Tamandua tetradactyla: one gene and its partners. The protein of the gene in region 2 interacts with the protein of the main gene of each other region in a pairwise test. Links are inferred from orthologs where the notes say so. Each region holds a gene or a part of one and is shown on either strand. Other genes may lie near its edges. The genes, in order: WDR5, ZXDC and POGZ.

Region 1 (10,786 bases), on a different chromosome or scaffold from region 2:
CCCTCCCACCCCTAGCCCAGAAGACCCCATTCTGGAGATGTTGGTGAATGAGTGAGGGGCCATGCAGACCTGAGGAAGTGGTATGAAGGGGGAAATGAATGTGGCAAATGGCCCAGTTAAATCCTGCATTTGTCTCCTACTTTGCAGCAGGAAGGCAGGCCCAGTACTGTTTTCTCGAATCACAAGAGCAGGCATCTGATTGGAGCAGCATCATTGGCCCAGAGGGGAAACTGAAAGACACCCCGTTTCCTCGCACATCTTCTCCCTGCAAACAGCCTCTATGTTTCCAACTCCCTCTTTGCAAGTTCTCTCTCCCTCCCCACGTAAAGCTTCATTTTACACAAAGGGGCTGTTCTGGGCACTCTTCTCTGCCGTGGGCTTCTTCCTCTCACAGCATGCCTGACCCATCCATCCAGGCCCGGCCAGAGATATCCATCCAGGCCCGGCCTCCCTGGGTGCAGTGGCTCAAACTGTGTCCCCCCAGAGGCTTGCTGGGGTCCTAACTCCTCGGTCCTGTGAGTGGGGACTCATATGGGAATGGGGTTTTCTAAGACCCTTTGAGGGTGAGGCCAAACTGAAGCAGCAGGACCTTCACCCAGTAAGGCCCAAGGCCTTAGACGCAGGGGAAATTGGGACTTGGGAGTCAGCAGAAGCCAGAGGCGGAGATGCAAGGAGATGGTTGCCCTGTGATGGAGGCAGAGCTGGGCCACCTCCAGATGCTGCAGCTTCAGAGAAAGGATGGCCCTGCTGATGCCTTGATTTTGAACTCGTGCCCTCCCAAACTGTGAGACAATAAACTCCTGTGTTGAAGCCAGACGCATCTGTGGTGTTTGTTATCGCAGCCCTGGCATCTAAGAACAGAGCTATCTCCTTCTTTGGGTCCTGGCAGAAGGTTCCAGCCCACAGATGTCCCCCGATTTGTCTAATCATCCCCTGCTCGTAGGCACTGAAGTGGGTCCAACGCCTTCGTCCTTCTCACTTCTGCCGTGAGCATGCCCTGCCTTTCCTGTCCCTGCAGGCTTTTTGGAGGGACAGGTTCTTGGAGGAGAACTTACTGGAGGTCCCACGAGCTTCAAATAGGCCCTTGAGGTCTACTTTTTACTTCTTACCTCCTGCCCTCATAATCCTTATTCCTCCATTCCCAACAGCTTTTCCATTAGACTCCGAGACAGAAGGGAAAATCAGTGCCTGGGATCCTAATTGTCCAGGGGTTGAAGTTCTCATACTGCAGGACTGGGTCTTCTCTGCCCCACATAAAACCATCAACCAATCTTGGAGCCCTGCCTCCTCACCACACCTCCAAGCAGACCCACACTGGTGCACACCTGCTCCAGTTGCCAGCTAGGTTCTGGCAACTGGTCTGGGTGGAGCGGCCATTCCCTGCTTCCAATTTTGTCCCCCAAGGTCGGGCAGGCTACAAGGAAGACAGCTGCGAGTTAACCCCAGGCTGACAGCCAGCCTTGGAGGGGCCCTACCAACCCGCTCTGCAAAAGCATGCCCTTGGCTGTCCGCAAGGGGATTTAAAGAGCCTGGAGGATGGAAGGAAAGGGTGGGCAGGTGGAGGGGCCTCCGAGTCTCCTTGTGGAAGGGAGGGAGCATGCCTGCAGCTGGTAGCAGAGCCGCCTGTTTGAAGCCCTGGGACTTTGGCCCCTGCGCATTTCCTCTGTGTCAGCTTTTCTATTTTTGACCGGTTGCTTCCCCTTTAGGGAATTATCAGCGATACTGTGGGAAACCCAGAAAAGCTTTGTCCAGGGTCTGCTGGGTTGCCTGCTCATGCCTCGGCCTCCTGGGCTCCTCTTTACTGCCTGGGGGTGGGGGGTGGGGCGGTTCATGCTGGCATGTTCCCCACTCCTGGATTTTATCCTAAAGAAACCATTTATTGTGAAATCCTGGAGACAACTTCAATGTCCAGGTGAGGAGTAACACATAGCCACGAAGAGAGGAGGGAAAGTGACCCTGGGTGGTGAGCTGGGAGGATGCTGGTGGTAAATGTGAGCTTGGAAGGCAGAAGGCAGAGCTACTGTGATCACAATTGGGTGGAAGTGATATCTGCAGATGGATAAGAAACAGTGTGGTCCACAGGGTATGCCTGGACGCTGGAGGCCCAAAGAATCAGTTAAGCTCCTGGTCTGTCATTTACTTGCTGTGTGACCTTGGGCAAATCACTGAGGCTCTCTGAGCCCATTTTCTTCTTCTGTAAATATCAGAATAGTTTACAACCATGTTTGGGGTTTCATGAGACAAGCAAAGGGCACACAGTAAGTGCTTCCTAATAACGTGGATAGATGGAAATAGAGTGGTATTGTGGGGAGAAGATGGAAGCAGTCACATTTATATTCCTTGAAAAAAAATGACCCTGTAAACCACTGTTGGCTACCCCAAATTAAACCACAGTAAAGCCGTTGAAAGTTTCCATCGGCTTTTTAGGCCTCTGATTTCAATCTGGCCTGGCCTAGGTGCTGTTTCTTTCTTAACTTGTCTGGACCTCTCTCCTTCCAGGGGGATTACACCCAAGTCCCGGGGCAGGGACAGGATTTGCAGACAACACCAGGTGCAGCCTGGCTTCCCATGGGGGAATCTGCATTCCTGGAATTCTTGCTGGGAGGCCCGCCCAGCCTGGCTCCAGTTGAGGCCGGGCTTCCACAGCCGCTGGATGTCCAGGGGCCCGGGCCAGCCTGGCGGTTCCCGTTGGTGGGTGGCTGAGCTCCCAGCACCCCCTGGAGGCAGAGGGGAGCCCATCCCAGGGAGGCGCCTGGGCCTGGGATGGGGTGCAGGGTGAGGGCAGATGGATTTAGTTGTCATGACTTTGCAGCAAGCTGAGGATAGATTTAAAACAAACAGGAAGAGAAAGCAAACATTCGATGCTTCATTCATTCGACTGGTCTTTATTAAGCACGTATTGGGCACCCTCTGCACCAGGGTGAACAGGCTGTCTCTGCTCTCGTGAGCCCTCCGGTAGCGGGGAAGTGGACAGGTGAGGGGGCCCTGGTGAACAAGGTGCAGAGGGAAGAGAGGGAGGGCTGAGCTTGGAGGTCCTTGAGGAGGGGACAGCCCACAAGTAGGACCAGTAAGAGAAGGAATCCAGTGGGGGACGATGCTCAACCATGCTGGTTTACCTGGGCTGAGGGGTTGTCTGTCAGGAATGGAGACTTTCCGTGATAAAACCAGGACAGTGCTGGGCAAACGAGGGTGCCAAGAAGGATATACGATGTAGGGGATGAGGCTGGGGGTGGGTGGGGTGTGCTCGATAGCTGCCAGGAAGGGCAAGGCAGCAGAAGGGTGCCACAATGACATGGGGTGTGGGGCTTTTTCTGTAACTGGGAAACTGAGGCCAAAGGAGAACAAGGATGGTGGCATAAGTAGGACTGGACATGGCTGGGTACCAGCGATTTCAGAGACCAATGTGACTCAGGACGAAGCTGTCCGCTGAAGGCCCTTGGGTCTTCCAGGTGACAGCAGGACACAAAGTGTGTCCTGATGGACCACTGGGGAAGATGTTGGGGAAGAAAGAGAAGAGCCCAAGGAAGGGGAGATGGTGGCATAAGTCTTCCAAACTGGCTGCCCTGGCCTGCTTTTCAGGAGAAAAGAATTTACACAAAACCCCACTGACCTGGGCTATAGGGGAACACTGGGGTCTCTGGATAACATCAGCAGCAACCTGGAATGGTAGCCCAAAGGTGTGGGCTACCCTGCCTGTGAAATCCAGTGAGTGCTTCCTGGAAACCCCGAATTCAGGGCATCCCCATGTGCATCGGCTTCCTTGACCCTCCCTCAATTGTCATTGGAATTTGCTAACCCCCGCCTCCCCCCCCCCCCCCAAGGCTCTGGGCTTGGCCATTAAAGGGTCAGTGCTCTCCTGCCACCTGCAGCCGTGTGCAGGGAGCCTCACAGCATTCCTAGGGCACGGCAAAGGAGCAGAGCTGTTCTAATGCCACCTCCCAGCAAAGCCAACCTCTAGTATGGCAGTCCACTTTTCCTTACGAAATACTTATTGCTAAGTTACAAAATAGAGCTTTTCAAGGGCTTCGGCCCTACAGAAATGTGACATTTTGCTTTTCAGATCAGCAGACTCCATAGGACCTTTCCTGTCTGCTCCAGTCCACATGCGTTACTTTCTTCTTTGAAGACCTATAACACCTACTTTTTATCCATCCATCTATCCACCCATCACCCACCCACTCATCCGTCCACCTACCCCATCCATACATGCACCCACCCTTCCATTCCCCTATTCATCCATTCACCCACTCATCCATTTATCCAACAACCTATCCACTACCCATCCATCCACTTATCCACTCAACCGTCCACCCACCTACTCACCTACTCATTCATCAGCCTATCCATCCATCCATCTTCCCATCAGCATCACTGAGTGTGTACTGTGCAATTGGGGGTTAGGAATGTAGGTTCTGCCTTCAGCCAGTTCTTTGGCTGTTGTGGGAACCTTCACAGGGGAGTCTTGGGCAGCCTCTCAATCTCTTGGGGCCTTAGTTTTCACAATGTGAAAGGAGGATAATGAAGGCACGCACAGTCAAGGGTTGTTTTGAAGGCACAAGAGAAAATATATGTAACAAACAATGTAGAATTGGGCATGCAGGTTCTCAAATGTATGCTAGATATCACTCCTCTTTCTCCTCCTGCTTCGTCCCCACCCAGCTCAGCCAGGCCAGGACACAATGAGCTTCAACTACAATGAAAAGGACTGTTTTCCATTGGGGAGGATCTGGGAGCGGTGGAAGTACCACTGGGTGGGGTGGGGGTGGGGGGATGAGAGGAAGCCCCTGAAGCACCAGTGGACACTGGCTGGTGGAAGGACTTATGTGAGATAGGACGGTGCCAGGCAGGCTTGTGGCCTTGCTGTGCTGATGGACAGCCTTGAGTGGGGGTGGGAAGCAACTTTTTAGAATATATATTTATAAAAATTGTTCATGGATACAGTTTCATTTACCGATTCATCTCCACTGGCCCAAGCGCAGTTAATGTTCTGAAAACAAAACAAAAACATAAACCCCAAAGGCTGAAGTGTTTTTTCTTGCTTTAGTTCTTTTCCTCTCTTCTGTTTCCACTTGTGGTTTTTCTGAGCCTGACAACTTTTGGAAAGGGATATAAAAGGATTTACAACATAGATAATAAAGCAGATGGTTGTATTGTTCAGCTGCTCTACCCACTGTGCTATTTGCTTTCAGGAATTTAGCTATGACTGGAGGCACGGATTACAAAACAATTGACAGTATGAACGGATTTTCTCATTTTCACTGGAAGGAGGCAAGACCCATTTATCTGGTAGTGGAAGTTGGGCGCACAAGTTAGCCGTTTGGGGTGAGTCCTGGACTGGAGGGGGAGGCAAGCGAGTTTGTCAAAGGAGTTTGGATTTTGACCTGAAGGCAATGGGAAACCATTTCTGGGTCTTAAACTAGGGAATGACAAATCAGAATTGGATTTTGACAAACTCCCCTTTCTGCTCTTCAGCGACTGCTGGGTGACCAAGGTGGGGATGGAGAGAAGTGAAAGGATAGAGGACTGTGTGAGGGTAAAGGGGAACCTGTGAAGAGCTGCCCTCCTTCACTCCTAAGCTAGCTGTGTTTACCTTTTGCTCCAGGGCACCTGGCCCCAAGGTGGTGAGGTTGGCTGGGCAAAGAGCTCCGTGGGGAGCCAGGCTGGGGCCAGCCAGGCAGGGACCTTGCCCACCCTGTGTCCCCTCTGGGAAGGGCTTCACATCAGCTGCCACTCTTCTGGCTCTGTATCCATGACAACCACACACCTCCTGTTCCCAGGGTGTTTCCCTTCCAATGCTGGGTCTCTTTACCAGTACACGTTCCCGTATCCTATCTGGGTGTCCATTTCCGATTTGGAAAATAAGGGACTACATTATTCTGCCTACAGGCCGGGTTGGGCCCACGAAGCTGTGGAGGCCACACACCCCTCCAAGATCCTTAGACCCGTGTGTGGGAGAAGCAGGCAGCTGGGCGAGAACGTGCAGGGGACAAAACCAAGCTCCGGCCCTACCCTGCCGTGGTCCACGGAGGTGACAATGCCTGCTGGAGGGAAAGCGCCTCGCAGCCTGCAGAGCAGCAGGCACGCAAGAATCCTCAGCATAGCTTCTCGCCTCCCAGGGGCTCCGGGGAACGGTCCCAGCAAGTCGCAGCCCTGGGCAGGGGCTCCGGGCAGGCAGGGCAGGCAGGGCTCGCGGCCTCACGGGCCAGGCCCGGGCCGGGCTCTCCCGAGACGGCTGTCAGGACCTTTCTGCAGCTCGGGCTTCTTTCTCCTCTTTAAGCCGGGAAGGTCTGACCACCTGCCCGCCCTCCCGCACTTTGCCCAGGGCTGCCCTCGAAGCGTTACCTGTGGCCCCCGCCGATAGGAGCGCTCGTGGAGAAGGCAGCTGCTTCTCCAGGCGGCTCCGACTCGGAGAAGAATCGTGGGGGCCACGCCGCCAACTCAGACCGCGGGAGGAGGGCTGGATCCTCCACGGGAGCCGGCTGCGGGGTGTGAGAGTTTGAGGGCACACTAGCTTATTCCTGTACGTTTATTGTGCTTCCATTTTCAAAAAGTGCAGGAAAAGAAGGGCCTACATCCGACAACGCGTGGGTCCACCGCGGGAAGCCTGCGCACACACTATCCCTTTAAGGCGTTAGGCTTGATCGAGGCATTCTGCCCCTTGCCGCTCGCCGTAGCGCTCCTCCGAGAGGCTGATTTTGTGGGTCTACCCCGCCCCCAGGACCCCGCCCCCTCCCTTCGCGCCTGCGCACTGTCGGGCGCACCCCTCCGTCGGCGTCTGGCGCCCGCCGGAGCTGCCGCCTAGCCGAGCTCGGCCCGTGCTTCAGACCAGGCGGCTGCCGACGAGGCGTCCCGAGCGCTCCGGCCCCGCCGCCGCCGCGGCCCGGCAGGTAAGCGGGCGGCCGTCTCCGCGCGGTGGGCGCGAAGCCTGGGGCGAAGCGGGCGCGATGCCGGTGTACTCCAAACCGTCCCCCGCCGCCGCACGTGTTCCCCGGCCCTCCCGGGACCCCGGGCCAGCGCGCCCCACGCCGCCCGAGGGGCCCCCAACTGCCTCCGCGGCGGGCCCCGTCCTCGCTGTGGAGAGCTCCTCGCGAGGGCCGCCGGCCTCTCACCGCCCTGCTCCCGTCCCAGGACCCGCTTCCCCCGGGCCGAACGCCGCAGCCCGGCCCGTGGAGCGCCCTCCCCCTCGCCTCTCTTCTCCCCGGTGTACCCCTTAGACCCCCCTGGGTTCCCGGATGCTCTCCTCGGCGACCCCTGACGGATCGTGGGCCCCACGGGCCCTTCCCGCCCTCCCCAGCCGTCCAGTGACGAGACGGAGCCCGAGGGTCGCGGCTTCTTTTTCCCCTGCAGCCAGCGGGCACTGCGTCTCAGGGCCCCCCTTTCCTCCAGTCCTGCGCCAGGGGAAGACCCCGGACGGGGCTGAGCGCTCTGCGGGCTTGCCCACGGTCCCTGATCCTGGCCGTCGGCCGTAAGGGCTGCGAGTCCTGGGGCGGGCTCCACCGGGTGGGCTTTCTGCCATCGGGGAGAAACCACCGGCCCTCCCGCGGTGGCGCCTCCGGCCCCGTGTTTCGTGGGTGAAAGACACGCATTAACAGCTTTCTTGTGTGAGTTTTGCCCACCCGGCACCATTTACCGGCCCTCTGCAGCGAGCGTTTTCCTGAAGCTTTGGCTCGGACAGGCGCTGGGCCAGACTCTGCACCCGAGGCTAGCCCGGCCCCATTGGGAAGGCGGGTGGAAGGGCCAAGTACTGAAGGGGGTGTTCAAGAGCCCAGAGGGCTGGGGGGCAGAGTCCCCTAACTCACTGCTGGATGGCCACCTGCGGGTCACCTGGAGGCCTCCTGCAAAGTGCAGGCGACCTCCTCTCCGTCTCGGAGGCCTCATTCCAGGGTGGAGCCTGGGAATCTGCCTTTAACGAGCAGCCCAGGTGCGCACGCTGCCTTAGGAGGTCAGGCTCACCTGGATGCGCTAGGAGGTCAGGCTCACCTGGATGCGCGCTTGCCTCTGCTCTGGAGGCCAAGTCCCGATCCCCTTCCCTTCACTCAGATGGTGCTCACCTTGTGTGTACCCCTCGTTTTCAAAGACCAAGTCCCTGTCCAGCTCCCCCCCCCCCAAATGGTTGTTTTTCAAAAGGTATTCCATGGGATTACCTGAGTGTTCACGGAAAGTGCAGAGCCCTGGATCCTAACTGTGAAGTAGAATCTTGGGGTATTGGATCAAGAAATCTGTGTTCTTCAAAGTCCAGCTTTCCAGTTGACCTTTTTGCACATTGATGTGTGAGAGACCCGAGAGCTGAACGCTTCTGCTGTAAGACTGCCTATTTCATTCCCTGGGCTTGCTCCTCCCCTCATGTTGGCAGAAGCCATGTCCCACCTCCAGGTGGGGCTGGCTTTATGTTAAAAGGAGCTGCTCTGCCACTCCCCCCCACTCCAGCTGCCCTTTTCACCTGTGTGGGCAGACCAAGCCCTCGCCCCTCTCACCTCAAGTCTCTGTTCTCACTGGTGTTTTGCTTGGGTGGGCTGGCTGGCAGGCATCTGCCATGCTCTCTTAGTTTTCTGCTGTAATCTCAGTTTCCTTATCAGACTTTCCAGCTTTGTTCCTAAGAGGAGGTTTCCTTAGTGCCACTCTTCGCTGCTTATCCATCCCACAGAGGAGAGGGCAGCAGTTGAGGTAAACTGGCAACCAGCCAGGTTGCACTAAGGATAATCAAGTACCTAGCATGTACTTAGCATCAATTTTGTGCCAGCGCTTTGCCTTTGGTGGGTTTTGTGAGACCTATCCTTCTCTCCCACTCAGACTCAGTCTTTGAGGGCTGTACTAGGACAGGAAATCTTTAATGCAGGTAAACAGAGCTTTGCTGCATGTGTATTCTGCCCAGTGGCTGTTACATTGTGATTTTTCTTCTATTCTGTTGGATGAAGACAGAGGCATGGGTTTTTCTGATAGTTCCCGTTTCACCTTAGTGTTACAGGGAGGTTGTGCAGGGCTTCGGACTTAAGCTTTAAGCTAGAATCTACGGTGTGTAAACTCATTAGGTTAGGTGTAGTGCTACCTTCTGGACTTTGGATGGCCAATGATGGTCGCAGAATGGCTTGGCAGCTCTTCTTTTTAATAGTGCTTTCCCTCATTTCAGAATCACCTGGTGTGCTTTTAGGAAATGTATCCAAAGAATGGAATCTATTCCAGTGATAGAAGAAACTGATCACGTACTGTACGGGTTGTAGATATTCCTGTTGTCAAGTGAAACCTAATTGAGTGGCAGTCTTTTTTCCTGTTTTCCTGCAGTTTGAGTCTTGCTTGCAGAGCATCAGTGCTGTACTTTTTCTACAGAAGGCAGTAGGTGGAACCTGTAGCAGACACAGCTGACTCTGGTTTGTTTTTTTGCTGCTGTGTTTTGTAGCTGTTTCACCAGGGAGAGAGAGCCTTTTAAGTTGTTAGCATTTTGGAAATCAGCGTTGCATCTACTACTAGTACCTTGCAATAACAAAGCCCACCCGTTAGACCTAGAACCCCTGGGCATGTGTTCTGTTTTCAAACGTGGTCATTAACAGTATCATATCACTTAGGATGCATTTTACAATTTGGATGAGCTCCCAGACTTCTGCACCTGAATCTTAGTCTCTTCTAATTTGGCATATTAGTTTTCTATCAAGAAACCTTTGGGCTCGTTGAAGTTTTCAAAATTGTGTTTTGTGTGAATTGTGCTATATTCCTATGGACCATGGGACACAAAATAGGAAGCACCCTTGAAGTGTAGGGTCCTTGAGAAAGTGTGAGAGCAGGGATATTTTGGCATAGTGTCTGAAAAGTGAGCATGAACTTAGGGTAATATATTCCAAGTTGGAACATTTTGTTGCTACAAGACTCAATATGGTAGTCAAATGGTTTTCTTTTTTATCTTTTTTCCCCTGGATATTAAGTTTTGAAACTGTGGCCTGTTTACTGGCCTAGGACCCTGTTTGTGTGCTAAAGCTGCTGGAATGCAGTATACCACAAACGGGTGCTTTTTAAAGGGGGTTTGCAATTCTAAGGCCATGGAAGTACAAATTAAGGCATTGAGAGAAAGATACCTTGACTCTGAAGAAAGGCCGATGGCATCCCAGTTTCCTGTGTCACATGGAAATGCATGAGGCCACATCTGCTGGCTCTTCTCTTCAAAATGTTCGAGATTCTGTGTGTCCTTGCTTGTTCCTCCCAGGGCATTTCTTTCTTTCAGCTTCTCTGGGCCCTGAACTCTCTCCAAAAATGTCTGCCTTTTAAAGGACTCCAGCAAGTGGATTAAGACCCACCGTGAATGGGCGGGGTCACATCTCCATGGAAACAACCTAATCAGAATTCCCACCCAGTAATAGGTCTGCCCCCACAAATTTGGATTGAAAGAATATAGGCTTTTCTGGGGGTACATAACAGATTCAAACCATCGCTTTCCTTTTTAGGTTTCAGCTGGTGGCTGGCCTCTTCATTGTGAGTCTTCTGTGGAAAACGGTGTACACTCCACTTACATCTCCTACCTGGTGGGCTTCAGAGCCATGGCCACAGAGGAGAAGAAGCCAGAGACCGAGGCAGCCAGAGCACAGCCGGCCCCGTCGTCATCTGCCACTCAGAGCAAGGTGTGTCCAGGAAGGGCCCCTCAGGGAGTTTCCCAGGAAAAAATAGGTTTAAAGATTCTTGGAAATATCATTTCAAGGCCTTAAGTCTATTCTCCCCTACTCTGTTAAATATTGCCACCAAGTTTTAGTCACTGCTCACCTACCTAGCAAATGCTTTTTATGTTCCCAAACCTGTCACCTGA
Region 2 (9,908 bases):
ATCCATGTAAAACAGGGTGAATACGTACATCAGTATCAGAGAGCCGTTGTAAAGATTAAATAAGATGCCTGTGCAAAGTGCTTAGTGTTAGATGGACACAGGCCAACTGCTTCAGGGTAGTCATCAGAACAGTGCAAAGTTTGTAGTAACACCAGGAAAGCTTATTTTACAATTACTGGTTAAAAAAATACAGATCTGCATATAAAGTATAGCAATTAAGTTTTTTAAAAAAGCCATTTTTTAGAAAAAAAAATATTTAGATGATGAGATTCTAGTGATTTTCTTTTAATAATTTTTATTTTTCCCAATTGTCTGCGATGAGCTCTTATTTTTAAAACTTAAAAAAAAATCTGCAGATATTTCATCCACCGGTTTCTACTACTGACCAACAAATCATTCATTTTCAAAACTGGTAATGTATCCCATAATGTAAAAACTACCTCTTGTGCCTTAAGAGTTTGGACATGCTGGTGAACGTCCAGCCACAGCTGTCAGAGTCACAAATAAAAGGTCTTTCACCTGATAAAAGAAAAAACATACATAACATAATTATAAATACCACAGCTAACACCAAGACAAATCCTGTGTTCAAATGATGTGGCATTCCCTAGTTCATTACCTGTATGACTTCTCAGGTGAATCTTCAGTCGACACGCTTTGTCATATTGTTTGCTGCATCCAGGAAAGGAGCAAGAAAAGAGTTCTTGTTCCCTGAAATGAGCTCGATTATGGGAAAACAGAGCACTCACTGTGATAAATGTCTTCTCGCAACCTGAACAAAGAAAAAAGCAAACCCTCATCATTGGTGTAACAAAAATTAGACCACACAGAAAATGCTAGTCACAATTCCAGGACATTGTTTACACTAAAGTAGACAAGGGGAAAAGATGATGCAGAAGCACCTCTAAAAAAAATATATAAGCATTAAAGTTGGCTTTGTGATAGCTAAAATCAAGGTGGCCAATGGGAACCAAAGGACACCAGGTGGCCACCTCTTGCAATATGACTTTGAGATGGATTGAGAGGATGTCTTCCAATCACAGCCACCTGTCAGTTTTGTAGCACTGATCTTGCAGACATGTGTGTCTCTTCCATGAACTCAAATTCCAATGCTGCCTGTGTGATACCCAAGAGCACCTGAGAGAATGTAAATATAAAGAACAAGATTTTGTGTGCGGAGGTAGAGCTCTGGAGGACAACAAAACAGTCATAAGACTTTTTCGCCCCTCTACATTTATAAATTTCCTCCCTGACATTCTCTGAAGATGCCAACCTCCAACCCTCTTTTTCTTTCTGCCAATTTCCTGTTTCGTCAAAGAAGCTAAGACTGTAATCTTCACTCACATGGCTTTCACCATCACCCCGCCTAGGGCCCACCCCAAGTCAAATGAGCCTCTCTCTGTAACTCCCAAACTCTCCACATCCATGTCCTCCTTTGACAAAAACCTTCACTGCTCGGATATGGTGGAGAACATGAAGTTGAAAGTTGTTTAACAGGTTTCTTTGTTGTAGCTCTTGACAGAGCCTTTAACTTGTACCACGGTCATACCTGCGAATCACCAAGCAGAGACACTACACAGCACTGGGTAAAAGGATCAGGCCCAAGAATTCCACTTTACCCAGTCACACATTCCTGGGAAGTGCCCATCTTCCCTCCTAAACCACCCTGAAGTCCTCCTCTTTGGCCTGAATCTGCTCCCTGCCCCTGCTCTGGTGTAATCACTGGCCCAGCTGGGAAAATCTGAATACTATGAATCTCTTTGCCACAAAAAGAACCACTCCCTATGCTTCAGGCAGTATCAGCCCCTTTGACTCTGCCTCAGCACCAGTCTTCCCTCCCGAGTCTCCTTGCCTCTCCCACTGTCAAAGTCAGATTCAGGCTCTCAGTAAACTCACATCTGGCCCTTTTCATGGTGTTTTACTGGCTTCTCCCAATTCTATCAACCTCACAGACAGATGTACCCACTAATCATCCAACTCAAAACCCTCAGGGGGACACCTCATGCCTTAAACCAGGCTGGACAGAATGATGCTCTTTGTGCATTTTACAAGCTTGAGGCCTAAGCCACCATCTGATTTCCACCAGAATAAATGATTAAAAAGGTTTCAAACAGTGGCCTGAAGCATGCTGTCTACACAGAGGCTTGCATAAGACAGTCCATTGCCAGATGGAAGAAAAACATTAGAGCCTGCTAATGTATCTGTCGTGTATCTCACTCTTTCAAACTTTCAGTATGTGCATATTTCATACTGTATACATTATTAGAATAGGGCATATACATAATATGTACATCCACACAGGACATGCTAGGAGTATGCTAGGTGCGTGTTACAGGTTTCCTTCTATTTTAATAAGTGAGGCATGGAAGGCCCTCCACCCTCTCTTTGGCCCTCCTACAATCTCCCAATTTCCCTTCACCTGCCACCACCCCTCCCATGCCCTAACCACAGCCAGCCCACATCTCCCAGCCGTGGCTCAGCAGGTTCATCCACCTGTACAGCCTTCTACCTATTCCCCCAGGGAACAGCCCATTCTTACCAGCTCAAAGAGCTATATGTTTACAACCAGCAATCTCTTCTCCTCGTGAGCACTGTCCCTTTTGATATCTGCCTAATAGTAGGCTGAGAAGGAAGGAGTCTTTCTTTAACATTCCCTTTAACTGCAAGCAGACACAGTGGGGAAGGAGCCCACACTGGATCTCGTCAGCATTGCTTGGTCTAGGTTTCGTAATGGGTAAAATGAGGACAATTTTTAAAACTTCACGAAACCGGGAAGTTCAAAGAAAATAAAAGTATAAAAGGCACATAAATGCTGTGAAGCTCGAAGGAAATGAAAGGATAAGAGGCCAAAACCCACGAAGCCCCACAGACTCAGGATTATTCCTCCCGTGCATTAAAATCTGGCATCTGGCCATATTCATCTTTGTTCCTTCTGCCCGGTGTTTGTCCTGTTTACTCAGTAATCAATAACTGAATATTTTTAAGTGATGAGACTGAGGAAAACAAAGATCTGACTCATCACTCAGTGCAAGTGTCTGCGAAGATGCTTGAACAACATCGTTAACCAAAAGCATCATAACAGAAATCTGTCCCTTTCACCACTGGAAAGGAGAGCTGCGATTACCGCTCGCTAACCCACGGTCATATCCCCGCAGCGGAGCGGGGGTCGAGACGCCAAACGGAAGCACTTGAAATGAACAAGCATGCAAACCCAGGCGCGCTTGAGATTCCCGCCCCTCCCACTCCGACTCAGGAGCCCAGCGATTTTAAATTCTGCTAGAATAGGCCGCAAGCGGCTGCGTGATGCCGCACCAGCTCCATGGCTCGGAATTTGGTATCCTGGGTCTGCTCGGCTATTTCCAATCGCCATCGGGGCCTCGCACCCCTGGCTTCATTAACAGGGTCCTGGGAACCCCGCGAAGCACCCGGCCCTCCCCCATAGGCATTCGGCGCGCGGTTACCAGGAAAATCACACTTGTAAGGCCTTTCGGGCTCGAAGTGGCTGCGCTGATGGGAACTGAGCTTGGCGTGCGTGGGGAAGCGCTCCGCGCACACCTCGCACTTGAACAGGTTCTGTTCGTGGCCCTTCATATGCGCCTTGAGATTGTAGACGGTGGTAAACTTCTTGCCGCAGCCGCCCACGGGGCAGCTGAAGGGCCGCAGCTTGTCGTGCGACTGCAGGTGCCTCTTGAGCTTGTAGGAGGTGGTGAAGGCCCAGCCGCAGCCGTCCAGGGGGCACTTAAAGGGCCGCCGACCCTGGCTGCCGCCGTGCGTCAGCAGGTGCACCTTGAGTTGGTGCTTCTTGGCGAAGGTCTGCGCGCACTGCGGCTCGGGACAGCGGTAGCCCAGCCCGCCTGGGCCCGCGCTCGGGGCCCCGCAGCTGCCGTCGGCCATCCTCGCGGCCTCCTCGCCGGATGCCAGGGCGGCTGCGGGTTCGGAGGGCTCGACAGGCCCCCCGGGTTGTGGACCCGGTGGCGGCGCGGCCAGCGTGAAGACGCCGTTGTCGAAGCACACCAACAGGTCCTGGTTGTTGATAGTGATGGTGCCCGCAAAGGCCGCGGCTGGGCCAGGGCTGGCGGCCGCACCACCCGAGCCCGGCCCAGGGCGACCCGCGGGACTCCCAATGCGCCCGCCCCGCGCCGGCCCAGGACCGGGCTCGGCCTCCCGCCGCCCGGGGGCCTCGCTGGGGGCGCCGCGCGCTACTTCCAGGAGCACCACGAAGGAGTCGCCGGCGCCGCCGTCCTCCACGGGCGGCGGGCCCAGTTCGGGGGCCGCCAGGGCCTCCTCGCGCCGCGGCCCGGACCCGCCATCTTCGGCGCCCCGTAGCAGCAGCAGCCGACGGCGCGCGGGGCCCGGGCTGCCGGGACGCCCTGGTCCTCGCCGGAGCCGGCCGGGGCCGGGGCCATCGCCGCCATGTTGGCCCCCGCGCGGGGTCCGGGCGGCCAGCGGCCCAGGGAGTTCCATCTTGGTGGCCCCGAAGCTGCCGCGGATACCCGGGCGGCGGAGGAAGCGCCGGCCAGCCCCGCCCAGGGTGTGAGCCAAAGCCCGGCGCGGAGTAAGGCCCGGAGCCGCGGGCCTGCGCCCGGGGAGGGGAACGCGCGAGGCCTCCTGGGTCCCGAATGACGTCACCCCGCAGGGGACGGCGGGGCGGGGTGTGGGCGGGGCGCCGTGGGCGGAGCCCCTCTAGAACCTTGGGATGGTCGGCAGTTCTCCCAGCTGATGTTGGCTTCACTTTCCGGGAGATGAGGTTCCTCTGGTTCATCAGAGTGAAGTTTGCATCCGTGTAGGGCAGACAAAGGGATTGAAAATCACAGCCAGCATCTCAGAAACCTTTCCTGTGTCCCGAATACTTTATACATATTTGTTTACTCATTCACACAAACGTTTTACAGATGAGAAAACCAAGGCACAGAGAGCTAGAATAACTTGTCCGAGGTCACACAGCCTGGAAATTGGGAGTTAGGATTGGAACACAGAGTTCAGCTCTTGACCACCAAGCTGCCCACCTCTAAGGAGTTCGCTAAACTGCAAACAAGGTGGTCTACAAACCTCACCTCCATTGCCCCTGGACCTTTACCTGGCACTCAGGTCTTCCTACTCTGATCCTTGCATACATGTTCAAGTGTACTGAACGTCACACAGCCTCACACTACTGCAGTGAGCAGATGGGCCGGTTTGAATCTGTTGTGTACCCCAGAAAAGCCGTGTCTCTTTATCCTCATTCAATATCGCTGGTTGGGAGCTTTTTGATTGTTCCCGTGGAGATGTGATTCACCCATTTGAGGGTGGAACTTTTGATTAGATGTCTTCCGTGGAGTTGTGACTCCACTCATTCCAGGTGGGTCTTGATTAATTTAGTGGAATCCTATTTAAAAGAGGAAGTATTTAGGATTCTCTTTTTTAGAGCCACGTGAGAGCCTCAAGAACCACAGAGCCCAGAGATCTTTGGAGATAAAGAAGGATTTGTCCCCGTGGGGATCATCATGAAACAAGAAACTTGCAGAGAAAGTTAGCAGAAGCTGTTTTCACCATGTACCTTCTCAGTTGTGAGAGAAACCCTGAACTTCATAGGCCTTTCTTGAGTGAAAGTAACCTCTTCTTGGTGCCTTAATTTGGATATTTTTATAGACTTGCTTTAATTGGAACATTTTCAGGGCCTTAGAACTGTAAACTTGTAACTTATTAAATTCCCCTTTTTTAAAGCCATACCATTTCTGGTATATTGCATTCTGGCAACTTGCAAACTAGAATAGCAGACTTATTCCATGTTCCTGAACTCAGCCACTCCTCTGCCTCCCTCAAGCCCCCCATTTCCACACCTCCAGAATCAGTCTGGAGTACCTTCACTTCTCTGCATCCTCCATTTCACTCCTAGGTTCTTACAAAAATAACTCCAAAGCTAATCTTCTGCCTCCATCCTGTCGCACACTTCTGTTCATCACAGGGCAGGTGTATTCATTTCTCAGGTGCTGACAAATAATTACCATGCAATAGGTTGGCTTAATAAGAATTTATTGGCTTATGGTTTCAGAGACAAGAAGGCTTGTTTCCTCCCAGGGATAGTATCTTCTGACAGGTGAGCAATCTTTAGAGTTCTTTGGCTTTGCTGAAGCTTGACAATGCACATGGCAACCTCATCTCCTTTCTCTTCAGCATTCCCTTGACTTACAGCTTTTGGCTGCTCATCATGGCTTTTTCCTTCTGTGGCCAATTTCCTTTGCTTCTAAGGACTTGGGCCCCATTAGGTTAAACACACCTTCATTCAGTTTGGGCACTCCTTAACTAATAACATCTTCAAAGGTCCTGTGTACAGATGGATTCACACCCACAGGACATAGGGTTTGGACCTGAACATGCCTTTTCTGGAGACCATGATTGAACCCATGATTCAACCCCCAACAGCAGACTTTTTGTGATCTTCCAAAATGCAAATCTAATTATACATTCTTAACCCCCCCCCCCAATTGCTCCCCATTGCTCTAGTTGCCTCGCATGTCTCCTCATACCCATTCTGATTCAGTTGGGCCATACCATAACTGAAGTAACTTCATCAAAAAGTCCTATTTATAAGAGTTCACATACACAGGAATGGGTTAAGTTTAAAAATATATTTTGCCTAGGTCACTTATCTCCAAACCACCACACACAGCAACAATATTAAAAAGAAAGGGTGCAAAGAACCAACAAAGACCCAGAGGCCGTCTTCCCAGAGGTCAGCAATACATAGATCTGACAAAAACTAAAAGTTATGATGGTAGATTTAAGAACTGATTTCATAGTAATCACTTCGAATATTAATGGACTAACCTCGCCAATTAAAAGACACAGATTGGCAGAATGGATCAAAATATCCATCTATATGCTGTTGGCAAGAGATGCATCTTAGACCCAAGGACACAATGAGATTGAAAGTGAAAAGATGTTCTATGCAAGCTGTAATCAAAAGAAAGCAGGAGCAGCTATATTATATCAGATAAAATAGACTTTAAATGTAAAGACATCATAAAAGACAAAGGAGGACACTACATATGAATAAAAGGGACAATTCACCAGGAGGAAATAACAATCATAAATGTTTACATTACTAATCAGGGAGCTCCAAAGTACATGAGGCAAACAATGGTAAAATGGAAAGGAGCTATAGACGTTTCATCAATAATAATTGGAGTCTTCAATACATCACTCTCCTCTGTAGATAGAATAATGAGACAGAGGATCAACTAGGAAATAGAGAACTTACACAATTTGATAAATGAATTAGACCTAATAGACATATATAGATCATTACACCCCAAACACCAGTGCACATGAAACGTTCTCCAGGATAGGTCATATTATGGGATACAAACTGAGTCTTTGTACATTTAATAAGATTGAAATTAACCAAAGCACTTTCTCTGACCACAATGGAATGAAGCCAGAAATCAATAATCACCAAAGAACCCAAGGTTTCACAAATATATGGAGACTAAACAATACCCTCTTATAGACAAGAAAAAGAAATACAAGGCATCAAAATTGGAAAGGAAGAAGTAAAACTATCACTGTTTGCAGACGATATGATACTATACGTCAAAAACCCGGAAAAATCCACAACAAAACTACTAGAGCTAATAAATGAGTACAGCAAAGTAGCAGGTTACAAGATCAACATTCAAAAATCTGTAGCATTTCTATACACTAGTAATGAACAAGCTGAGGGGGAAATCAAGAAACGAATCCCATTTACAATTGCAACTAAAAGAATAAAATACCTAGGAATAAATTTAACTAAAGAGACAAAAAACCTATATAAAGAAAACTACAAAAAACTGCTAAAAGAAATCACAGAAGACCTAAATAGATGGAAAGGCATACCGTGTTCATGGATTGGAAGACTAAATATAGTTAAGATGTCAATCCTACCTAAATTGATTTACAGATTCAATGCAATACCAATCAAAATCCCAACAACTTATTTTTCAGAAATAGAAAAACCAATAAGCAAATTTATCTGGAAGGGCAGGGTGCCCCGAATTGCTAAAAACATCTTGGGGAAAAAAAATGAAGCTGGAGGTCTCGCGCTGCCTGACTTTAAGGCATATTATGAAGCCACAGTGGTCAAAACAGCATGGTATTGGCATAAAGATAGATATATCGACCAATGGAATCGAATAGAGTGCTCAGATATAGACCCTCTCATCTATGGACATTTGATCTTTGATAAGGCAGTCAAGCCAACTCACCTGGGACAGAACAGTCTCTTCAATAAATGGTGCCTAGAGAACTGGATATCCATATGCAAAAGAATGAAAGAAGACCCATCTCTCACACCCTATACAAAAGTTAACTCAAAATGGATCAAAGATCTAAACATTAGGTCTAAGACCATAAAACAGTTAGAGGAAAATGTTGGGAGATATCTTATGGATCTTACAACTGGAGGCGGTTTTATGGACCTTAAACCTAAAGCAAGAGCACTGAAGAAGGAAATAAATAAATGGGAACTCCTCAAAATTAAACACTTTTGTGCATCAAAGAACTTCATCAAGAAAGTAGAAAGACAGCCTACACAATGGGAGACAATATTTGGAAACGACCTATCAGATAAAGATCTAGTATCCAGAATTTATAAAGAGATTGTTCATCTCAACAACAAAAAGACAGCCAACCCAATTACAAAATGGGAAAAAGACTTGAACAGACACCTCTCAGAAGAGGAAATACAAATGGCCAAAAGGCACATGAAGAGATGCTCAATGTCCCTGGCCATTAGAGAAATGCAAATCAAAACCACAATGAGATATCATCTCACACCCACCAGAATGGCCATTATCAACAAAACAGAAAATGACAAGTGCTGGAGAGGATGCGGAGAAAGAGGCACACTTATTCACTGTTGGTGGGAATGTCAAATGGTGCAACCACTGTGGAAGGCAGTTTGGCGGTTCCTCAAAAAGCTGAATATAGAATTGCCATACGACCCAGCAATACCATTGCTGGGAATATACTCAAAGGACTTAAGGGCAAAGACACAAACGGACATTTGCACACCAATGTTTATAGCAGCGTTATTTACAATTGCAAAGAGATGGAAACAGCCGAAATCTCCATCAACAGAAGAGTGGCTAAACAAACTGTGGTATATACATATGATGGAATACTATGCAGCTTTAAGACAGGATAAACTTATGAAGCATGTAATAACATGGATGGACCTAGAGAACATTATGCTGAGTGAGTCTAGCCAAAAACTAAAGGACAAATACTGTATGGTCCCACTGATGTGAACAGACATTCGAGAATAAATTTGGAATATGTACTTGATAACAGAGTCCAGCAGGAGGTAGAAACAGGGTAAGATAATGGCCAATTGGAGTTGAAGGGATACAGACGGTGTAACAGGACTAGATACAAAAACTCAAAAATGGACAGCACAATAATACCTAATTGTAAAGTAATCATGTTAAAACACTGAATGAAGCTGCATCTGAGCTATAGGTTTTTGTTTTGTTTTGTTTTGTTTTGTTTTGATTTTACTATTATTACTTTTATTTTTTCTCTATATTAACATTCTATATCTTTTTCGGTTATGTTGCTAGTTCTTCTAAACCAATGCATATGTACTAAGAAATGATGATCATGCATCTATGTGATGATGTTAAGAATTAATGATTGCATATGTAGAATGGTATGATCTCTAAATGTTGGGTTAATTTCTTTTTTTCCGTTAATTAAAAAAAAAAAAGAAGGGATAATTGGAGCTGAAGAGATACAGACTGTACAACGGGACTGGATATAAAAACTCAGAAATGGACAGCACAATACTACCCAATTGTAATGCAATTATGTTAAAACACTGAATGAAGCTGCATGTGAGGTATAGGTTTTTTGTTTTTGTTTTTTTTTTTCTTTCTATTATTGTTTTA
Region 3 (10,625 bases), on a different chromosome or scaffold from region 2:
CAAATAAGTAAGGAAAGAAAACAAAAGAGAAGTATAGCGGTTATGGGCTATTTGGGGCGTTCTTTCTTACTTTTACTCTTTTTTTTTGGCATAATGAGTGTTCAAAATCTATTGTAATGATGAATGCACAGCATTATGAAGATACTATAAACCACTGCTTGTACACTGGGGATGATTATAACTCAATAAAAAAATCATCGAAGTGGCGGGCCACAATGGCTCAGCAGGCAGAGTTCTCAACTGCCATGCTGGAGACCTGGGTTTGATTTCCAGTGCCTACTCATGTGTAAAAAAAAAAAAAAATTATTGAAGAAAAAAAATCTATTGGTCTATACTGCATTTTGGGAAAGGATTGTTAACCCTTATGCAATTTAGTGACATCAATCATTGGAAAATACAGATTTAATGAGCTATGCCAACATTCCAAATGTTGACACATTTCATTAAGCCATTAAAAAAAGAATCAGTCCTAAACATTGTTTTAAGTATAGGGAAGCTGTCAACCTTATTTTTTCAAGCTGTCAACTTTTTAAAAGTTCTAATTTTCACTCAAATTTTATCATTGGTAACAAACACAGTCAACTGTTTCTCAGAAGTGAAAGGTCCAATTTCAAGAAAATGTCTGCCAGATACTCAACTTTGAAAAACTGTAGTTTGTCAGTCTCATTGGTTTTTTCAAGTAAAAATGCTGGTCCATGAAATAAGCAGCTAGTTCAGCTCATGTTCAACCTCCCAAATGCTCTTCCTCATGACAATGACCAAACCTCAGCAGGCAGCAAAAGGGCTTTGGGTATACTTTCCATCTCATCACAGCTTCCTAAAAAGAGATGTACTCTGTGAGGCATGCAACTAGGTGAATGAACCCTAATACATGTTGAATAAACATGTCCAAAACAAAAAGACAAATATTATGCCTCACTCACATGGATTAACTTTAATATGCAAATGGAGAGAATTGAAGTTGAGAGTATGGGTTGTCAGGTTGGGGCCTACTGTAAAGGTTCCTAGATTGTAAACTCTTATAGCAGTCACATGTATTTAGGAGTTGTAACTGAAATTTCTAAATTCTGAGCCAGTGATCTATTCGTAGGTAACCTGTTGATCCCTGAAACTTTGAGTATTTATGCGACACCACTGACTCAGAGTTAGAGCATTAATGCTATCAAAGTCAGCATTACCCCATTCAGCAACTGTTTAAAAGGCTGAAAAAGTGATCAGACTTTGTCTAGAGATTCAAATAAAGCTGATCTGGATAGGACTAAGGTAAATCAGAATACTAGGTAAAGGGTGATACGGTTCCTATTTTAAAATTTCAACTTCTGAGCAAGACCAAAGAGAGAAATGTTTATTTGGGGAAGAATTTATATTTTGGGTAGCACATTATCTAATTTAATTTGTACGGTCAGTTTACTTGAACACCATTAAGTACATGGAATCTTGAACAGGATGAGATCCTGTTGGTTTATACAGGTTAGTGTGATGCCCCAATATATCCCAGAGTAATTTGGGCAGTGACTAAAGTATTTGCAAAATCCTTTTGGGGGGCGGGCCGCGGTGGCTCAGCGGGCAAAGTGCTTGCCTGCTATGCCGGAGGACCTCGGTTCGATTCCCGGCCCCAGCCCATGTAACGAAAACGGAGAAACAAAATACAATAAAACAAGAAAATGTTTAAAAGATGTTTCCCTTTCTTCCTCTCTTCCTTCCTTCTATCCTTCCTTCCTTCTCTCTGTCTTTAAAAAAAAAAAAAAAAAAAAAAAATCCTTTTGGGGGACTGGGGAGACAGGAGGAAATACCTGACTTCCCCATCTGGGGAATTCCTGACATTCTTGCAAGTGAGGACAACCAATACAATAAGGCTGAGCCCTCAATATTGGAGTTTGCTCCTATGAAGCTTATTCCTGCAAGGGAGAGGCTAAGCCAAGTGATAATTATGCCCAAGAGTCACCCCCAACCTCCAGCACACTGCTGCTCAGATGTGGCCTCTCTCTCTCTGAGCCAACTTGGCAGGTGAACTCACTGCCCTCCGCTACGTGGAACATGACTCCCAGCAGTGTAAATCTCCCTGGTAATGCGGGACAAGACTCCCAGGGATGAACTGGGACCAGCACCATGGGAGTGAAAAAGCATTTCTGACCAAAAGAGAAAAGAGAAATGAGACAAAATAAAGTTTCAGTGGCTGAGAGATTTCAAACAGAATCAAGATCATCCTGGAGGTTATTCTTATGCATAATATGGATATCCCTTTTTAGTTTATTGTGTGTTGGAGAAACTGGAGGAAAGTATGCAAAACTGCTGATCTGCGTTTCAGTAACCTTGATTTTTGACAAGGGTTGTATAACCGAAATAGCTTTTACAACGTGACTGTGATTGCGAAAATCTTGTGTCTGACGTTCCTTTTATCCAAGGTATGTACAGATGAGTAAAAAATATATATGTGGATAAAAAATAAATACGGAGAGATAAAAAGTAAAAATTGGGTAGACTGAAATACTGTGGGTCATCGAGAGGGAGGGGTAAGAGGTATGGGATGTATGAGTTTTTTTCTTTTTCTTTTCCTGGAGTGATGCAAATGTTCTAAAAATGATCACGGTGAAAAATATGGAAACACGTGATGACACTGTGAGCCACTGATTTGATGATATGGTTGGAGTGTACGTGTGTGGATGTTTCTCAAAAAAAAGATGTACTCTGGATTTAAAAAAAAAAGTCATTCTTACTGCTTTGTCAAGGATATTCTCAGGTACACAGTATGGCTCCTCTACCTTGCTTTGTACTAAGGTGAGGACAGTTTTAACTAGCACTGCTTCTGGACCATCAGGGCAAAAACTAGCGAAAAGGATAAACAGCATTTCTGCATTATTCTGAAAATAGTTCTGAGCTGCTGCCATCCTGAAAGGTCTGAGATCCCGAGGGATCATGATCTCCACTTTACTGCGAGACGTGGGCGAAACCTGAGGAAGTGGAGTTCACCCCAGCACTTCTTCACTATCTGAGTGCCTTTACCAGGGGACACACCACCAACAGAGTAAGGAAAGGGGAAGGAAATCAAGGGTAGAGATTCCCATTTACATCCTTCACCCTTCCGCTAGACCAGTAACTCTCCAGGTGTGGGGATCTTAACCAGGACCAGCTGAGGGTCAGCAGGGTGAAAACGGAGAAGCCACGCCTGCAGCCTCGCCAGGCCGCGCCCCACCCAATGACTCTTTGGGGACGAGGCCCCCAACGCTGCAAGCTTAGCCATCTCTCAGGTACTTCCGATGCATCCCAAGCGAGGAATTTCAATGACTGTTCGAAATGACCACAGACTAAGGTCCCGGCCCCTTCAAAGCGATGGCCTCCAAATTCATTGCCTTTCTCTATCCCACTCGCTTCCCCCAGATTTACTTGGGAAATTTTCTTTAAACACCCCATTTCTGTGGGGTTTTGGGACTCGGCGGGAAGCGTGCAGGCTGAGTCCGCCCCGAGGTGACGGCTGCCCGGAAGGAGCTCCACCGGCAGGGGCCGGGGCCAGCACCGCGCGGAGGCCGCCCGGGCGAGGGCGCGAACAAGGTCCTCGACGGCAGGGCGCATCCCGCGCCGGCGGGTCGGGAGCCCACGGCCGCAAGCACACGCGGCGAGGCAGAGAGACAGACGGCTCCTTTCCAGCGCGCGCGGACAACCGAGACGGCCAGCGCCAAGGCCAAACATGGCGCCGCCGCGGCGGGGTGGGCTCGCCGGAGAGGAGCGCCTCTTCGCCTCGGGCACGTCGGGAAGCACCGCGCCCGCCCGAAAGGGACTCGGGGGCGAGGGCGGACCCGTGCCTGAGGAGCACGAAAGCCTGGGAGGCACGAGAGACCAGAACGGATTACACAACGCGGGGGTTCGCGCAGCCAACGCTCCGGGGCCGCCTCCCGCGCCAAAGGGGCACCGGCTCCCCCTCGGCCGGGGAGGGCGCGGGCCCGGGAGCCGCCCCCGCCGCCGCGGCCTCGCCCCCTAGCCCGCCCGCCCACGCCCACTCCCCGGCGGGCCGCCGCCCGCGCCCGCCCACTCCCCCGGGACGCCTCGCGCCGGGCGTGCGTGTGGACGTCGGGGGGAGCGCGGAGCCGTGGGCGGCGAGTGCGCGCGCGCGCGCCACGGCGGCGGCGGCGGGGGGCGGAGGCGACTGGCGAGGGGCCGCCGCCGTCCGGCCCGCCGCGCCTCCCGCGGGGCACGCACTCACAGCCACGCGCGTGCGCGCGCGCCGCACCCACGGCCGCCGCCGCCACGGCCGCGCCGCTCCTCGCGGTGGGCGGGGGCGCGCCCCAGCCCCCGCCCCCACCCCGCGCCCGCCCCATCCCCCTCTCATTGTCTCGCCTCGGAGCTCCGCGCCGAGCGAAAAGATAACGGAACCCCCGGGAGCAGGGGGTGGGGAGACCGAGGGCTCGCGCGCTCACTCACCTCCCGTGGTCGTCGCCGCCGCTCGTCTGACCCGAGGAAGGCGCCGTCGCCTTAAAGGGACCTTGCACCGGCGCCCGGAGAGGGGGTGGGAGCAGGGGAGGGGACGGGGGCTTGGGGGAGAAGGCCAAGAGGGAACCGTTGGAAGCTCGTCTCCCCGCGGGTGGAAGGAAACCTCCCTCGGGTTCGAGTGATTTGGTTTGGATTTTTTTTCCCGAGGGGGGCGGGGGGGCCCCGAGGGAGGGGGTGGGGGGGGCCAAGGAATGCGGCTCCGTGTACGGGAGCTGGCGCGGGGGAGAGAGACTCCGACTCCCCCCACCGGCCCTCTCGCCCGCGGAGGGATACGACTCGTCACTTCCGCCCTCCCCTCTTCGCGGCCTGCGATTGGCCGGAGCTCGGGGGACGTCACGGGCTCAGACTAACCCCTGCCCGCGCTTCTTTTCCAGTCAAGTTTGTGTGGGCCCGCAAATAAATAAATAAAAAACATATTTCTAATAAAAAAAATTAATGAACTTTCAGCAGCAATATCCAGATTCTGATGAGAAAAATGGGGTTTCCAAAGGAAATGTTCCCCAATTCACTTGCCTAGGCTTTCCGGGGGATTTTGGGAGTGCCCCCACCTGCCACGCGAGGCCTGGACCCAGTGAGGGGGACTGCACGCTCCAGGCCGGAGGGCGAGGCCCGGGGGCACCAGCGAGGACAGCCCCGGGGGCTCTCACCCGTCCTCAGCGGTCCTTCAGCCAAGTAGATTTGTGGCAGTGGTAACATTGTTTAAGTGAAAAACTTTTAAGAGCCATTTTTGCTTTGAAAACCTTTGGGATTCTGGGAAGAAGTCACGCCTGTGTGCTTATCAAGGTGATTCTTGCTACTGAAACTACTTGAAACCATTGGAAATAGTCTCACGAGAGAGATATCCAATTCTAAGCATATCCTTGCTTTGGGCTCCAATCAAGGCTGAGACGGACTGACCCAAAGACATGGATTACCTCCATACAAAACCATCACAATGTTATTTTTCCCAGAACAGAAACTGACAGCTTCTCCAGGTAGCCAAGAAACTTTGTCCTTTCTTGCTTCCTTAGAGGATGGATGATAAAATTTTAGTATTTTTCTTGTAATCAGAGGAAGTTGGTGCTCTTTAGACAAGACACAAATGGTTGCTGCAAACCAAATGCTAAATCACAGTGCCTGGTGCCAGACTGGGAAGATCCAACACCATATTTATTCCTTATCTTTACATCCACACTCCATTCATATGGCCATTCAAGTCACAGGACTATGAAAATGGGTCATGGAATAGGCATTTCAAATCATGCACACATGTGCACATGGACATACACACAGTTGTCACCCATTTTCCTCCCACTTCATCGCATTTCATACCATATATATGTGAGTGATTTCAACTAGTCATTCTTAGGGAGAATCACTATTGGAACTGGAAGACTCACTTATCTCCTGAAAACACTTCTAAAGTGTTTCCAGACCTGATGTGGAAAAGCCCATGTTGGGATTATAGAATCTATCACCCAAACACAAATTCTACATGCAGCACTAATTCTATTTTTGGTGTCCTGCAGTACTTATCATAATTTGTTATAATGTTGTTTGCCTCTGAAATCTTCCTGGTGGAACATTTTCCTGTGCTCTCAGCCGATGAGGTCTAGCCCAGTAGACTGAACCATGTACTGTTGACCAATAACCCTTAGCACATCATATGAAAATGCATCCTGCATCTATTCATCAACAAATATTTATTGAATACTTATTATATGCCAGACAGGCTTTGTTCTAGGTGCTGGGAATACAATACAAAGAAGAAAACAAAATCACTGAATTCATGGAATTCACACTCTAGTAGAGAGATACTCTATACACATAAAATATTTCATTTTCTGTTGAATAGCAAGCTACCCCAAAACTTAATGGCTTGAAACAATGTTATTATCTCCGATGGTTCCAGGAGATGAGTAGGCTCAGCTAGGCATTTCTCACTTGAGTCTCTCATGCAGTGGCTGGCCCTGAAGGCCTCTCAGAGCTTCCTCACCTGCCTGGATGTTGGCTTGGGCTGCTGCTGGGGCTGTTGGCCAGAACACCTACATGTGGCCTTTCCGTGTGGCCTGAGCATCCTCATATCACAGTGGCTGGGTTCCAAGATTGTGTCCCAAGAGGACTTGCACAGGTTGTATGACTTTTTGTGACCTAGTCGCAGAGATCATATAACATCATTTCCACCACAATTCCCCCACATCAGCTCAAGAGGGGTGGGGAACAAAGACTCCACATCTCAAAGTATGTGACCGCTTTGAAAAATACAAATCTGCCATACAAATAAATTTATCAGTAAATATATAACTTATGATACAGAGATAGGTGCTGTGAAGGGGGAAAAGGGAAGTTCTGGAGCTACTATTTCAGCTGTGTGTGTTCTGCAAGGTGTTGTTTACTCCTTTGTGACCTATTTTTCTATCACTTAGTTGGTGTCCTGGGAGACAATTTTGACCCATGATGGCTAACGAAATGCGTGTGAGTGATGGTGATATACCTGAGGAAGAGCATCATGCTGAGTGTTAAAATGGGGTTTTTGCTAGAGCTGGAGGAACCTTGAGGAAATAGTTGAGAAAACAAAGGGTAAAGATAAATGGCCATTAGGGAATGGATTAAATCCTTTGACATTATAAAACGTATCCTAATTACCGCCATAGCCTGGGAGAATTGATCAACAGCTGAATGACTGATAGCTGGAAGAATCTTGGACAGAGGCATTTTATAGCTTCAGGGATTTGAAGAAACTCTGCCACCTTACAACACGGAGCAGCATCTCAAAAAGGACTGTAGAGTTAGCACTCCCATTTTTAAAAACATATTCCATGTGCTAAAGAGAGAATTCCCACGTTAATTTGGACTGTTAGGCCATTTTGTTGTCATCAGCTAACACAGCTTTCTAGAGTGATAGCGCTGGTCTTTCTTATCTTTAAACCATCTTGATGATGATGGGAAAACAAGGCAGTAGAACAAGATAATCTGGATGAAATCCTTACAAATCAATTCACATGTGCTTCTATAACATACTACAGAGGCATCTGAAAGCCAATATAGCTTGGTGAATTGAAGAAATTGGACCCTAATCCTGCTGCTAAGAAGCTGCCCCAATCTTGATGAGTCTGGCCCTGACGCCATGGGATCAACAATGCCATCCTGACCAAAATGGGGTAAAGAAGTGTAACAAAGTATCCGTGGCTGAGAGAGTTCAAATAGAGTCCAGAGACTACTCTGGAGGTCACTGTTGTGCAAGCTTCAGTCAGACATTGCTACCTACCATAATCTGCCAACCCCCAACCAGGACCATTCCTGCCAATCCTAAAGAACACCTAGGGCAATATATAAGATTCCACAAGGGTTCCATGCACTAGAGTAACTTTCCAGAAACCTACAACCTCTAGATGGGTCCCTGGACCAGATAAGTCCTGAAGCCTAGAGGGCCCAGCCTCCCCAGAACATCAGGTAGTTCCATCTCCCTACCCCATATTAGTGACACACCCTTCCAAAATGAAAAAGTTAGAATGGGCATGGTCCACCTACCCGTAAAGAGTGGGAGAAAGATCAAAGGTAATAGTGGACTTACACTGAGAAGATAGAGTTTAACAAATGACTATGATTGCTGAATCATTATATTGATAATTGTTTTAGTCTCCAGTATCTTAGAGCAGTTAGAAGCTGCTATATTCCTTCCAGCCTCCAAAGTTCTGGAGCAGCTAGAAGGAAAAATCTGAGATGATGGTATGTAGCCCCTGACAAACTCTGGGATCTGTCCTATAACTACTTGTTTGAAAAGTGCTTTGAAAATCATTGGGTTTTTTTCTTTCTTTGCTTTGTATATATGTTATATTATACAGTAAAAAAAAGTTAAAAAAAAAAAAAAAGCTTCCCCAATCTTAAATAATCTACTCAGAAAAATGGAATTCTCTCCAAAAGGGTTTCTAAAAAAGGTCAAAGGTTAACTAAACTCCCAAGTTGGGCATTTCACAGTTACCGGTAGCAGGAGAGTGTTTCTTTTCTACAGTTTATGGAAGCACTTATTTGGTTCTTTGGCTTATGATTTCTGCCACGAGTTGAAAATTGGAACCACCTGCAGCTTGGAGAGTGCATGTCAAGGCAGAAAGACAAATGATTTCAACATGTCTTCGAAAGCAGTGAGTCATGGGTGCCCTCTGCGATGTCACTTTTCTAAACTACAGACCCAGTCACTGACTGCTGAAGCTCAGTGGGAGGCTGAAGATGGGGGGAAAGATGAGGTGAGAGGGAGGCTAGCCCAGACAGAAAGCAGCTTCCTGGGATAATACTAGGTGTTTTTTGTTATGTTTTGTTTTTTAAAGGGCATCCCCAATCCAATGTGTACAACATACACAGATAATTCGAAGCTGGAAACTCAAAAGGAGTTACTCAATTTGGGAGACCTGAGAGAGGAACAGTGGAGACATTTTTACAATCTGGACAGCTCCCTGCTTGAACAGATTGATAGCTGATTACACAGAGCCTGGAAATCCGGAGAGTCAACATGTTGGGATGGAAAGGAGGACACTGAAAAACCTGACTTGACAGGTAAATTGTCATGAAATAAAGGGAAAGTGAAGCTCAGCGTTTGACTAGAGTCAGATAAAAAATGGGGGACTCAGAGGACTGCTGCTGGATTTTCTTTAGAATATTTTTTCTGAGAGTGGGGGACTTTCCTAGAGGTACAGGGAGTGAGAAATAACTTGAGGATGTTTTCAGAGTGGATATCTAAAGGAAGAAGAGTTTCTCATTAGCTTTCAGTAAGAAGCAGCTGAAGGTCTTGTCTTCAAAATATATTTTGTAAGAAATGCATAAGCAGCAACTTAATCAGCCATCAAGACTTACAGTGATATGGTGTGTGAATAAAACTGTTAAAAAAAAAAAAGTCCTACTGTGAGTTGCTACATGATTGCATGAGATAATTATTTAGTTAAACTTTGAGTAAATTAATATTATTTAAGAGATACCCAAAGCAGAGTCATAATTGTTTCATATTGATTGTTGCTAAGGAGGTGAATAGGTGACTATAAAGTAATTAGATTGATTCCATAAAGCTTCACCAAAAAATGAATTGGATTACTTTATAGACACACTTGATATGTGGCTTGTTCATTATAATATATCACAAAGAGCAATTTAATAAGTTTTCATTTTTCACTAGGATACATTCTTTTCAAATTAAGCAGTGTTTGCATTTTCTTAACATCATGTTAAAATTTCTAGAATGCAACTGTGGACGTTAAATAACCTACCAGTTCATTCCACTGAAGGACATGAGAAGTAAAGTGATCTTTTTTTTACAGATGCAGAGAATAAGATGCCTTCGTAATTAAGTTTGAAAGTTTTATTTGGAACAGGGCAGATAAGTATCAAATCCTTTTGGGTCCTCTCTTTTTGTTGAGTACATACAGTAGGGGTTAGAAATGGCAAGGAATCCATCTCCTCTGACAGCCAAGGATCCACTGTTAATGTCTTCTCTATTGTCTACAACATAAAGGTAATCAAATCTGAAAATGAGAAAGTGCCAAGATTCACCAGTTTAAAATCATTTTAAGGGAAGAAAATGATTTAACCTAGAAATAATTCTCTTTTATAGGTTTGCCTCTAAATGCAGCAGTGTGTCAGTACTGCAAATTAGGTATGAAGATGAGTTCCCTCTTTCCTTTGACCCTATATCCTGGCAGCCTCAGATCTGCTTCTCCTACCCATAAAGATCATGTTCTTAGCATAGAAAGGTGAATCTTAACCTTTTCTGCATTATGAACCCCTTGAAAACCTCCATGAAAGATATGGATTATCTCCCCCAGAAAAATCCACACTTGTACATATACACAAAGTTTTGCACACTTTCTGACTTGAAGCCCATTCGTGTGCCTGTGCATGAACCCCAGAGAGACCCTCACGTCCTGAATTCATTGGACAAAATGCTTCATTCTGGGTCTTCTAGAGGAGAGCAAGCCCTCCGAGATGCGACACAGCTCTCAATAATCTGATGAACATATATGCCCAAACAACCGGAGATTCGCTTCACTCTAAAAGTGGCTTATTGCTACTATTATTACTATTACTTTTATTATTATTATTATTATTTTGCCTCTTCCTTTATCTTTGCCCCAGAAGTTCCCCAACATTTGGGAAAGTTCAAGAACTTCTAGGAC

The links.
Region 1: the proteins of ZXDC (region 2) and WDR5 interact in binary tests that used the Homo sapiens proteins (3 or more experiments, as listed by UniProt). The link is inferred for Tamandua tetradactyla from reciprocal best matches to the Homo sapiens genes ZXDC and WDR5.
Region 3: the proteins of ZXDC (region 2) and POGZ interact in binary tests that used the Homo sapiens proteins (3 or more experiments, as listed by UniProt). The link is inferred for Tamandua tetradactyla from reciprocal best matches to the Homo sapiens genes ZXDC and POGZ.

The regions. Positions count from the first base shown.
Region 1 is NC_135328.1:132,473,988-132,484,773, reverse strand, and holds the start of WDR5 (WD repeat-containing protein 5), read left to right. Parts: upstream 1-6,762; 5' UTR 6,763-6,887; intron 6,888-7,445; exon of another isoform or gene 7,446-7,601; intron 7,602-10,430; 5' UTR 10,431-10,523; coding exon 10,524-10,604; intron 10,605-10,786.
Region 2 is NC_135335.1:28,728,615-28,738,522, forward strand, and holds the start of ZXDC (zinc finger protein ZXDC), read right to left. Parts: upstream 4,595-9,908; 5' UTR 4,465-4,594; coding exon 3,462-4,464; intron 773-3,461; coding exon 620-772; intron 520-619; coding exon 441-519; intron 1-440. UniProt on the Homo sapiens protein: Cooperates with CIITA to promote transcription of MHC class I and MHC class II genes.
Region 3 is NC_135330.1:3,844,874-3,855,498, reverse strand, and holds the start of POGZ (pogo transposable element with ZNF domain), read right to left. Parts: upstream 4,652-10,625; 5' UTR 4,417-4,651; intron 818-4,416; 5' UTR 1-817. UniProt on the Homo sapiens protein: Plays a role in mitotic cell cycle progression and is involved in kinetochore assembly and mitotic sister chromatid cohesion.